Xenopus tropicalis: one gene and its partners. The protein of the gene in region 3 purifies or fractionates together with the protein of the main gene of each other region. This does not show direct contact. Links are inferred from orthologs where the notes say so. Each region holds a gene or a part of one and is shown on either strand. Other genes may lie near its edges. The genes, in order: ybx1, stau1 and lrrc59.

What was found.
Region 1: the proteins of lrrc59 (region 3) and ybx1 purify together in Homo sapiens (co-immunoprecipitation; 3 studies listed by BioGRID and IntAct, with this or other methods). This does not show direct contact. The link is inferred for Xenopus tropicalis from reciprocal best matches to the Homo sapiens genes LRRC59 and YBX1.
Region 2: the proteins of lrrc59 (region 3) and stau1 purify together in Homo sapiens (affinity purification with mass spectrometry; 3 studies listed by BioGRID). This does not show direct contact. The link is inferred for Xenopus tropicalis from reciprocal best matches to the Homo sapiens genes LRRC59 and STAU1.

What each region holds. Positions count from the first base shown.
Region 1 is NC_030683.2:94,733,906-94,737,987, reverse strand, and holds the start of ybx1 (nuclease-sensitive element-binding protein 1), read left to right. Parts: upstream 1-1,184; 5' UTR 1,185-1,339; coding exon 1,340-1,439; intron 1,440-2,692; coding exon 2,693-2,756; intron 2,757-3,574; coding exon 3,575-3,608; intron 3,609-3,925; coding exon 3,926-4,015; intron 4,016-4,082. UniProt on the Homo sapiens protein: DNA- and RNA-binding protein involved in various processes, such as translational repression, RNA stabilization, mRNA splicing, DNA repair and transcription regulation.
Region 2 is NC_030686.2:38,163,042-38,166,691, reverse strand, and holds part of stau1 (double-stranded RNA-binding protein Staufen homolog 1), read right to left. Parts: intron 3,604-3,650; coding exon 3,518-3,603; intron 730-3,517; coding exon 642-729; 3' UTR 1-641. UniProt on the Homo sapiens protein: Binds double-stranded RNA (regardless of the sequence) and tubulin.
Region 3 is NC_030686.2:43,884,686-43,888,935, reverse strand, and holds the start of lrrc59 (leucine-rich repeat-containing protein 59), read right to left. Parts: upstream 2,935-4,250; 5' UTR 2,840-2,934; intron 1,787-2,839; 5' UTR 1,783-1,786; coding exon 1,678-1,782; intron 1,563-1,677; coding exon 1,503-1,562; intron 1,118-1,502; coding exon 959-1,117; intron 42-958; coding exon 1-41.

The DNA of each region.
Region 1 (4,082 bases), on a different chromosome or scaffold from region 3:
TACAATGGTGTCTTATCTGTTATCGGCTATGTGCCTGTGCCTTTTCTCCAGCTTGAATGGCTGCCCCCATGGCTACACAGAAGCTTATTTATATAAACTATAGTAGTGTTTCTGAAGCAAACACCCCAGTTTTACCAGCGCAGGGCCACAGTACATTATATTTCAATTACTTTAAAACACTTTCATTTTTTGGTGTTACTGTTCCTTTAATAGACCAGTAATCAGTCAGTGTTGAACCATGAATTGTCAGCTCATACATCATTATTGATCTGACCTAACCAGTCAGAAAGACTAATTCATATTATTTAATTCTCATTTGCTTTTGTGGAGTTTTATTAAAATTATATGAGATAGATTTTAATGTGTCTTAAACTATCACATTTATATTAGTATTTGCGATGTGCATGCTGTTATTGCAGCTATGGAGCATACTGCAAGTTAGGCTGTGCAAGTGTACTGCTGATGTGACTATTCCCGCTATTATTAAAGCCCATTTATAAAACACTAATATACTCTGCTGTGTAATGTATTTGGGAAAATATAAGCAATAAGGCAGAAATTACACCATTGCGAAGAAACAAACAGAAATCAAGACATGAGGTCGGGGGGGCCTGCCCGTTAGACAATCCGAGGATTAGGAAATAAGCAATACGCCATACTTCCATAAAACCTTGGATTTGGACTCAGCGCCATAACAATAGACAGAGTCCGTTGCCTAAGCACAACCCCTTATATGAGTGATCTGGTATCATTACCTTCAGCTCATAAGGGCTGATGTGCCGGGAAACAGCTGAACTAAACACAAGTCAAATATTGAGGTACCTGCCCAATAGTTTATTGCATTTATCCTACCCCCCACACCTTACACTTTATTGATCACTGTTTATATCAGCCTTAGAGCTCAACAGCTACATCCCATCCAATAATGCAGACGCTAGAGGCAGAGACTAATCCCTCCAATCCTGTTATTGACATCTGCCTTAGCCAATAAGATTACAGAAGGAACACATCCAAACAGAGCGCGTCGATTCTTGATTGACAAGCCATTCGACCATACAACTGCAGAGTTTTTTACTAAACCCGTAGACTGACAAGCCAATTGACCAATAGGATAATAGCCAGGGCGGGATGTCTGCGATGATTAACCCGTCTGTAAGGCCATTGCCAGGCAGTTCGATCGGTAGCGGGAGCGGAGAGCGGACAGCAGGGAGCTCGAAAGGCAGCAGCCCCACCGCCGGCCTGAGTTACCATCAACACCCCGGGGGGAAGTTAAAGCGAGCCAACCGCCGGCCCGAGTCACCACCTCCGAAAGCAGCCAACTTACACCATCAAAGACACAATGAGCAGCGAGGTTGAAACACAACAGCAGCAGACAGTCGCATTGGAGGGCAAGGCCGGCCAGGAACCGGCGGCCACCGTGGGGGAGAAGAAGGTCATCGGTAAGTACGATTGAATTAGCATACGAGAGATGCCTCTCGGACACAGGCAGGGCTGGGTATTTGGCGCGTCAGGCTCAATATGACTACTACTCCCAGCATCCCCTGTGCAGTCACGTTGGTTAAGGCGATTACTAGATATTTGCACAAACAGGCGCGGTTATCTGTTTATTTATAGTGTGAGGGAGCGGTTTTCGCTTTTACTATAGGGCGCGGGTGAGTGGCGGTTACACCGACGTGGAGTGTCGTGCCACGCGGAGTTGTTGGTGACGGATCTCTGCCCCCCCCGGCGCCGTGACATCACCCCCCCCCCCGCAGCGCCGTGACATCATCCCTTCCTGTGTCCTGAGAGGAATAGGGCCTGTAACATGTCCGCCGCCGCCTGCGGCCTACACCCCCCCCACCTCCTCTTTTGTATGCCGCCGCGCCTTTGCTGGGTCCCCAGTAGCGCCTCTGGCCTCACGTTTGCTTTGCAAACATACGGGGGAGTGTGAGGGCCGTGATGGCGCTGGGAATTGGCGGCTCCGTGTGTCCCGGCTGCTCGGGTTGCGGCTCTGGCCCGGCTCCAGCCACGTGGTGTGTGAGTAGTTGTGGCACGGAGCTGCTCGTACCGCCTGGGCCTGAGCGGGAGGGGCATGAGAGCCATTTTAGTCTATCTTTGCACTCGGCTTGCTTAGTAGCAGCCTTTATAGCGCTTGGCAATAAACGGGGATTCTGGGAGTTGTAGTTTTTCATTTGAAAAAAAGAATTGACAACACTCTTATGGCCCCAAATAGCAATGTTTGTTTGCTGATGCCTTTAATTGTAATTCCGTGTGTTTATATAGCAGTGAGTGGGAATGCACACAACCAGTTGCATTACTTTCCCTCAGGAAATGTTGCTACCAGGGCCATGGGATAGGGCTTTGTTTTTGTTCCTCTTCCCCCATCCACCCCCATCCATCCTACTCAATGTAATTACTGTATAGCTGTGCCTGGCCCAGTAGCCATTGAAGTTGTATGTCCAGATAGCCATTAAACTAGCAGTGTTTATGTATTGCTTTGGCTTGTATCTCACTGGCTGCTGATCAATAAGTTGCATGTAACTAGTATTTATAATTTCTAATTATTTTTTTTTGTAAAAGTTAGCTTTCCAAACCACCACCCACCCCCTGTGTTTATGGTGCTACTGTGCTGCCAGAAAGTGATTGCTCTATTGTGCATATTAGATTGATCTTGTGCCTCACTCCAAACTAACGATTTTTTATTTTCTTTCAGCAACCAAGGTTTTGGGTACGGTCAAATGGTTTAATGTGCGCAATGGTTACGGCTTCATTAACAGGTGAGTTCATATTTCTGCCCCAACTTAGATTAGTAATTTGGTAAACTTGTTACAGCCTGCCTGACCCTTCGGGGCCATGCACGTGGTACTTCCCATAAATGCTTGTTTTAATATGGTTTAGCAAGTATATATTCCAGGATATGCGGTTAAGCAATACCAGAAGTTACTTAAATTACTTAACACTTGGGGAAGGCATAGTTTAAAAATGTTTTTATAGAGATGGGGAGCTGCTGTATTGCTTGCTTCCTAAGTAGCACTGCCTACCGGTTTCAGCGCTGTACTTCTATGAATGCCTGTGCCAAGAAAATGATCTTTGCCTGTCGCTGTTGTAGAAATTCAGATACACAACAAAAACAGTAATTGCACCCAGTAGCCAGGGCTGGCATGCTTTAATTCAGCTTTCCCTTATCCTTTCGACTGTATCTTAAGATTTTTCTGCTTTTTGAAAGGAAATGTACTTTTTTCACATAAACCAAATAAATCGGTTTGTTAAAAACAATTATATAAGATGGCTTCTTTCCTAAAATGTCAGAAATGAGCTATATGATGTGGGCTTTATGGAGAAAAAAAGGATGCTGGTTGAAATATATTTTCATTTGCCCATTCTTTGTCTAAAGGCAATGCTTTGTGGTTGGTAGAAAAAATGCCTTTCCAGCATTATTCCTATTTTTGTGCTTATGTTGCCTTTAGTGTTTGACCTATACATATAAATTAATTTGCACAGTACAAGCCTTTAATCTATTTTTGTTTTGTTTAGCTTTGTTGTGCTGTGAAAATTTCTACCTTTTGTCGTTAACATTTTGTTTTTATCCTTATAGGAATGACACCAAGGAAGATGTGTTTGTACACCAAGTAAGTATTCCACTTATCTGGGTTTTTTTTACAGATGTCTAGTCCAATCTAGTATAGAAAATGTATTCTATAACTTCTAATATGGTAACTTGTATTTGAGTATAGTGTTGATCAAAGCGGATTGCCTTGGTGTAATAAAAGAATGCATACTGAATAGAAAGTCATGACTGTTCCACAGTTGGATAGGACATTTTCCTACACCTTTTTATATTGCCATGGAACTAGATAGAGCAAAAGCAGATTTAATCAGTTTTCAGCATTTGTTCAGATTTCTTTTAATGTCTTTTTATTTAAAAAAAAAAATATATTTTTTTTAGACTGCCATCAAGAAGAATAACCCTAGGAAGTACCTTCGCAGTGTGGGAGATGGTGAAACTGTTGAGTTTGATGTAGTGGAGGGTGAAAAGGTAAGACTATCAAAAGGGTACGAGGATACGTTTTACACAAGCTACAAGTGTATATTTTTAGTCTTCA
Region 2 (3,650 bases), about 5.7 Mb from region 3:
ACAAAACAAAAGAGAAATAAAAATACAATTAATAAAATGCCTAAAAAATGAAAATTTTACTACTATGGTTTTTTTTTTCTAATTCAACGTTTTTCCTTTCCCCATCCGTGTAGGGCACAGCACATAATTGTTTAATAACTAGCATGGTATAAAACAAGAGGAAAAAAAAAAAAGACATATTGTAGATACATATACACAACCACACGCGAGGATATGATCTGATCAGTACATGAAATGTGTTGAGGATTCTAGGCCGCTGGGTACAATTAATATTGTATTTACCGAGTCTCTAGACAAAACAAAAAAACATTAGTAATACCGAGACTGTTCCATTTTAGGGTGATTCTTTAGCTGTTCATGAATGTCTGCCCCCCCCCCCCTCCCCATTCACTATTGGCAGGTATGTGCAACCAGAGGTCGTCCATAACCCAAATACCTGCCATAAGTGTATGTGCATTATGGGGAGCCTCCAATGACAATGACGGTTCAGACTTCACAACAGCTAAAAAGCCACCCTGACCCCTGCTCTCTGGTTATACAGTGCCGAGAGGTAAATGGCGATGGTGGAAGCACTCTAAGTGACGAGGACGTTTTGATTTTCTTCGGTGCTTTTAGGATCGGGCTCAGCCGGAAGGCCTGTATCAGGCTGTACTGTCCAGTGTTTGTCCCAAGGTGTTTGAGTTAGCCGGTTTGAGGAGAGGATCACTTTCCATTTCGGGTTTTACACATCTGCAGGAGAACAAAACCTTGTTTAAAGAAAGGGTTAAGTGTGCAGCCTGCATCATAACATTACATACGATCAGTAGGGATTGGCCCACACACACACGGGCTAACACAGTCCAGGTACCCTGTTTGTTTGGAAGTGTGTGTGTGTGTGTGAGTGTGAACAACCAACACTGAGGTACAGACCCCAAACCAAACAGGAAGCCACCAACTGCTGAACTTCAACTCCCAGCATTCCTGGCCTACAGACACTGTACAGAAGTATTTATGAACAGAATGTAGGTCACAGGACAGCTACTCTCCATTTACAGCTTACGGTGTATTTGTAGCTTATATAAAAATAGGAAAAGTTTAAAGTATATACAGGTATAGGACCCGTTATCTAGAATGCTCGGAAACAAGGGTATTCTGGATAAGGAATCTTTTCTGTAATTTGGATCTCTATACCTTAAGGGGCACATTTACTAACCCACGAACGGGCCGAATGCGTCCGATTGCGTTTTTTTTCGTAATGATCGGTATTTTGCGATTTTTTCGGAAATTATCGCGACTTTTTCGTTACCAATACGATTTTTGCGAAAAAACGCGAGTTTTTCGTAGCCATTCCAAAAGTTGTGCAAAATCTGGCGATTTTTTCGTAGCGTTAAAATTTGCGCGAAAAGTCGCGATTTTTTCGTAGAGTTAAAACTTGCACGAAACGTCGCGCCTTGTAAGTTTTAATGCTACGAAAAAGGCGCGACTTTTTGCGCAAGTTTTAACGCTACGAAAAAATCGCCAGATTTTGCGCAACTTTCGGAATGGCTACGAAAAACTCGCATTTTTTCGCGCAAGTCGTAATGGCTACGAAAAAACTCACGTTTTTTCGCGCAAATCGTATTGGTAACGAAAAAGTCGTGATAATTTCCGAAAAGTCGTAAAGACGCCGAAAAAAAATCGCAAAAAATACGAAAAAGTCGCAAAATGTTCGTTTTCCAAACGGAATTTTTCCAATTCGGATTCGAATTCGTGTCTTAGTAAATCAGCCCCTAAGTCTACTAAAAAATAAATAAAACATTAATTAAACCCAATAGGGCTGTTCTGCCCCCAATAAGGGGTAATTATATCTTAGTTGGGATCAAGTACAGGTACTGTTTTATTATTACAGAGAAAAGGGAATCATTTAACCATTAAATAAACCCAATAGGGCTGTTCTGCCCCCAATAAGGGGTAATTATATCTTAGTTGGGATCAAGTACAGGTACTGTTTTATTATTACAGAGAAAAGGGAATCATTTAACCATTAAATAAACCCAATAGGGCTGTTCTGCCCCAATAAGGGGTAATTATATCTTAGTTGGGATCAAGTACAGGTACTGTTTTATTATTACAGAGAAAAGGGAATCATTTAACCATTAAATAAACCCAATAGGGCTGTTCTGCCCCCAATAAGGGGTAATTATATCTTAGTTGGGATCAAGTACAGGTACTGTTTTATTATTACAGAGAAAAGGGAATCATTTAACCATTAAATAAACCCAATAGGGCTGTTCTGCCCCCAATAAGGGGTAATTATATCTTAGTTGGAATCAAGTACAGGTACTGTTTTATTATTACAGAGAAAAGGGAATCATTTAACCATTAAATAAACCCAATAGGGCTGTTCTGCCCCCAATAAGGGGTAATTATATCTTAGTTGGGATCAAGTACAGGTACTGTTTTATTATTACAGAGAAAAGGGAATCATTTAACCATTAAATAAACCCAATAGGGCTGTTCTGCCCCCAATAAGGGGTAATTATATCTTAGTTGGAATCAAGTACAGGTACTGTTTTATTATTACAGAGAAAAGGGAATCATTTAACCATTAAATAAACCCAATAGGGCTGTTCTGCCCCCAATAAGGGGTAATTATATCTTAGTTGGGATCAAGTACAGGTACTGTTTTATTATTACAGAGAAAAAGGAAATCAGTTTTAAAATTCTGAATTATTTGATTAAAATGGAGTCTATGGAAGACGGGCTTTCTGTAATTCGGAGCTTTCTGGATAACGGGTTTCCGGATATGGGGTCCGATACCTGTACTGATATACAGATTCTCTCTCTCTAGATTAGATTCCAACGGAACAGCATTTGCTTAACTCCTGGTTATGACTTTTTAAACAAAGTTGCAAAGGTCAGTCACCCTGCTGCCTTGTGCTACATTGTTTTATTGAGTCGGAGCCTCCAGGACAGAGAATAGAAAAGGACAAACACTGCTTCTAATAGCAATTATATATACAAATATCTTTAACCATTACAAATTTGTCATGAATGTATATTGCAAAGTTGCTTAGAATGATGTTTTCTTTTATTATGCAAAAAATTATTTTTCGGGTTGACATGTCCCTTAAATGTGCATATTACTCTACCCGAGAGCTAGGGATAGCAAATCAAATAGCCAGGCATGGCAACTGCCACCCTCACTGCTGGGTCTGGACTAAGAGCCCAATGAATAGACTATGGCAGGGGTGCCCAGACTTTTCCCCCAGCGGTCATATTTTGGCCCCTCTCCACGTACGTACGCATACCCTATAAATGCGTTGAACCGCCGCACTTTCCGGCTTCGATGCGGTCAACCAGAAATCCATGGGGGATCGACTGGTGGACCACAATCAACGTTTTGGCCACCCCTGATCTATGGTATCTTACATCAGCCCCTACAGATTGCCAGGCCCGCCCACTACAATTCTCTGCCTTTGATTATCAGCCGATATGGGCTGTTTTAAGGAGCAGGGGTTGTGTATTACCCAATCAGAGACTAGAAATCAGAACTCACACAGACATTGGTCCATTTCCTGTTCTGGGCATCTCTGGGTTTTGTTGGTCCAGCTCAGACAGCAATTTCAAGATGTTCAATGCAGCCTTAAAGGGAAAACATGGAAAATATTAACTCCTGGATGAACAAGCAA
Region 3 (4,250 bases):
GGTTTCAGTGGGTTGTCCTTCAGATCCAGCCATTTCAGACTCTGCAAAGAAAATGTACATATCACAGGCTGTACCACCGGCACCCATTCCAGCCACACCCACAATCTTCTCCCTTGTTCCTCCTATACTATCAACGAACCATCTAAGGTGGCCATAAACGCTAAGATCCGCTCACTTGGAATTGGTCTAAGGGACCGATATCAGCAGCTAGAATCGGCCCGTGTATGGCAGCCTTAATCCTGTGCTAGGGCTGCACATTGCTTCCTATTCAAATGTTACCTTTGCAAACACTCTTTCAATTTATTGCCAGTTGCTAAGGTCAGCTGAACCCTAGCAACCACAACATTTGGTTATGCAGCCATGCAGAATGTTCGCTTATCAGCTGATCTTATGCACACTGTGTGCACTCTAGTACCTTGCCTACAATCCTTATTCTGGCAAGATCTACCCCCAAGGCCAGAGGCCCCCACTGCTCTCTACACTATCCACACACTTCTTTCTCTCGCACCACCAGGCCTCATCACAGTGTTCATATAACCACAGACTACATGCAAATTGTGCTTCAGCCAGGGCCGGATTTAAACCTTGTGTGCCCCTCGGCCTCTCAGCTGTTTGCACCCCCCCCCCGCTATTCACACCTCCCCACCACTCACACCTACTGCCACCTTTCCAGCATGATTACTTCACATAGTTGCCAAAATCTCCCGCCCAGTACATATGTGGCCAGAATGCTGCCCCCCAATATTTGCTGCCCTATGCCTGGGCCTTTGTGGCCTGCCCACAAACCTGGGCCTGGCTTCAACCCTTTCCTATAAAACCCCTGTAAATAGAGCTCTGACCCCACCCTTCTATCATGCCTACAATACACACTGTAGCCCAGATCTCTCAGCCAAGGCCAACGGCTCACACTACCCCCTCCAGTGCTCAGGCACCTCCCTCACACCCCACCAGACCTCACCTTCAACTGTGCAAAGGAGACAGGCAGCGCCACTATGCGGTTCTGTAGCAGGTCCAGATGCTGCAGGTTCACCAGCCTGCCGAATTCTGAAGGGAGCTGCGCTATCTGATTCTTGCTGAGATCCAGTCGCACTATGTAACTCAGATTGCAGAAATCATCCTGCGGAAAGAGAAGATCATGAGCCTCAGGCTGTGGGGAGTATGGCGAGATGCAGGGAGTCGCAGTTACAGCCACAGAGACCAACTGCAAGGGGAAGAGTAAGATCCTGCAGATGATGCAGCAGCTTAGAAGGTTAGGAATCCTGCATGCAGTTTAGGGGGGCACTCATTTGAGGATTTGACTCAGAGCCATGTTACTTTAAAGGGGTGGGTCACGTAAATTGTCTCAAAATAGTACCAGATACATGATACTAAACTTATTTAAAGCCTAAATACCCTGAGAATCGGTCTGGTTAACTGGACCCAAGTGGGGATACTGGTTTGGTGCATCCCTAATGCAGACACGGAACATTTCACTTGCTGTTAAACCCAGATGAGAGTCTCACCGGTAAGGAAGTCAGCTTGTTACAGGAAAGGTCCAGAGCCGTCGCCTTGGGAATGGCCACCTGAAAGAGAAGGAGGGGTCACTACCAGACGGGGGGAGGCAAACTGAATGTAATGGGGGGCCCAAGCTCCATCAGGCTCATATACACTGGGCACAGACGGCAATAAATCTCTCACCAGGTCCCGAACAGGCACTTCGCTCAGATCACTCAGGCTCAGGTCCAGCTCATTCCCGTCCAATTTGTCCCTCAGGTTCTGGGATCTTCCGTTCGCTCGTGCCATTTCGCTGCAAAGACACCACAGCTATAGCTCAGTGCTTATCTTATGGCATCATTTCCCAAGATCCCCAGCAAGCCTATCAGCCTACAGCTCAGTGCTTATCTTATGGCATCATTTCCCAAGATCCCCAGCTAGCCTATCAGCCTACAGCAGCTACAGCTCAGTGCTTATCCTATAGCATAATTTCCCAAGACCCCAGCTAGCCTATCAGCCTACAGCATAATTTCCCAAGATCCCCAGCTAGCCTATCAGCCTACAGCATAACTTCCCAAGATCCCCAGCTAGCCTATCAGCCTACAGCAGCTTTAGCTCAGTGCTTATCCTATAGCATAATTTCCCAAGATCCCCAGCTAGCCTATCAGCCTACAGCATAATTTCCCAAGATCATCAGATAGCCTATCAGCCTACAGCATTACTTCCCAAGATCCCCAGCTAGCCTATCAGCCTACAACTCAGTACTTATTGTATGGCATAATTTCCCAAGATCCCCGGCTAGCCTATCCGCCTACAGCTCAATGCTTATCTTATGGCATAATTTCCCAAGATCCCCGGCTAGCCTATCCGCCTACAGCTCAATGCTTATCTTATGACATAATTTCCCAAGATCCCCAGCTAGCCTATCAGCCTACAACTCGGTACTTATTGTATGGCATTTTTTCCCCAAGATCCCCAGCAAGCCTATCAGCCTACAGCAGCTATAGCTCAGTGCTTATCTTATGGAATAATTTCCCAAGATCCTCAGCAAGCCTACAGCTCAGTACTTATCCTAAGGCATCATTTCCCAAAAACCTTAGCAAGTACCAAAGGCATCAGTTACACACAAGGTGCATTCAATACATTATTATCTCAGTGCTGATCTCCCAGCTTTAATCCCTATAATCCCCAGTAGAACTCAATTCCGCTCCTTACCCAGCCATAACCCCCCAGGTCCCATCCCTCCTGCCCCAGCTGCCTTTCCCACCCCCAGCCTCCCCATACTGTAACATACCCTCCATCCTCCCCAAGAACCACAGCCCCTTATTCTCTCCCCGTTCTACCTACCTCTCCCCTTCCCACCTACCTCTCCCCTTCCCGGCTGCCTCACTGCGCTGCCTGCGTGTCTCCCCGCACTCCGATCCCTGAGCAGCAGCTTCCTGATCCACGTCAGACTCAAACATTCCAGCCAACGAGTCGGGGAATGGGGACAGACGGGCCGAACCATAGAGTTGTGCCTGGAAGCGAAGGGCGCCCCCAGTGGCGGATAATCAGTATGTAACTAACTCAGTACCACAGTCAGAGTTTCTTTAGCAAATTCCCTCATGCTCTAAGGCCAAAGGAAGTCGTTATGTGGCTGGGAAACTGCCTCTATGATGGATTTACACTAATCAGTACAGCTTTGATTTAAGTTCAGGTAATATATCCCTCCCATATAGATTGTAAGCTCTACGGGGCAGGGACCTCCATCCTCTTGTGTCTTTGAGTCTTAACTTATTGCAACTGTATCTTGTATTTATCTGTATTTATTGTTATACTGTGTATTTATCTATTATTATCTTATTAACCCCCTGTTTGTATTAATCTATTCTACTGTACAGCGCTGCGTACATAAGTAGCACTTTATAAATAAAGGTATACATACATACATACAGGGTCGGACTGGGGGGTGAAGGGCCCATAGCCTCCCCCCCGAGGGGCCCCCCTAACACCACTTGAAGGGCCCCCACCCTACGGCCTTTCCCGAGCACGTAAATGTAACGCGTCGGGGCAGGAGCGGTCGGGCAGGGGGAGCGCTGCAAGGGTCGGGGCTCTGGGCCGCCGGGGCCCACTAGGGATTTTTCCCGGTGTCCCGGGGCCCAGTTCGACTCTACATGCATACAGTGTCATTATTGGGGGTTAAAATGACAGCATGTTGGCCAAATGCCTGTTATGGTTGTGGGCTCTCAGTCTGGTTATAGCCAAGCACCAATGCTCTTACACAGTGTGTTGGGTGACTATTGACACCTAATTGCTAGGACTGTACCTTCTCTAGTTGGTTGGATCATTTGCCCTAGTAGATCTAGGGTCTAATTGTAAGTCTGGGGAAGTGAAATATCCCCCTTCCAACCCAACTGTCGTGACTAGACATGGCATATCCTGACATGGAGCAGGGTTGCTACCCGCCAAGGCCAGTAAAACACCCACCAAGGCCAGTGCTGGTATAATAATCTCTAATTTAGCTCCTGGCCCTCTCACCTAAGCCCTTGTCTCACCCTAAATCATACCTTTTCCTTTCCTTGAGCCCCCCTCTAGTGCTCTGTCACATCATAGCCCCCATAGGGATGTCACCTGTTGGGTTTTGGACAGGACAGCCTTCCCCCCCCCCCCCCCCCCCCACCCAGTGCTGTCTGGTTCAATGTTGTCTTTTTGGGCTCCAGAGCTCTGAAAAGTATGGTTCCCCAGTGTATATTAAGTTATATTATGGTTGCTATCTAATGTTTATTTGTTTTTTATTT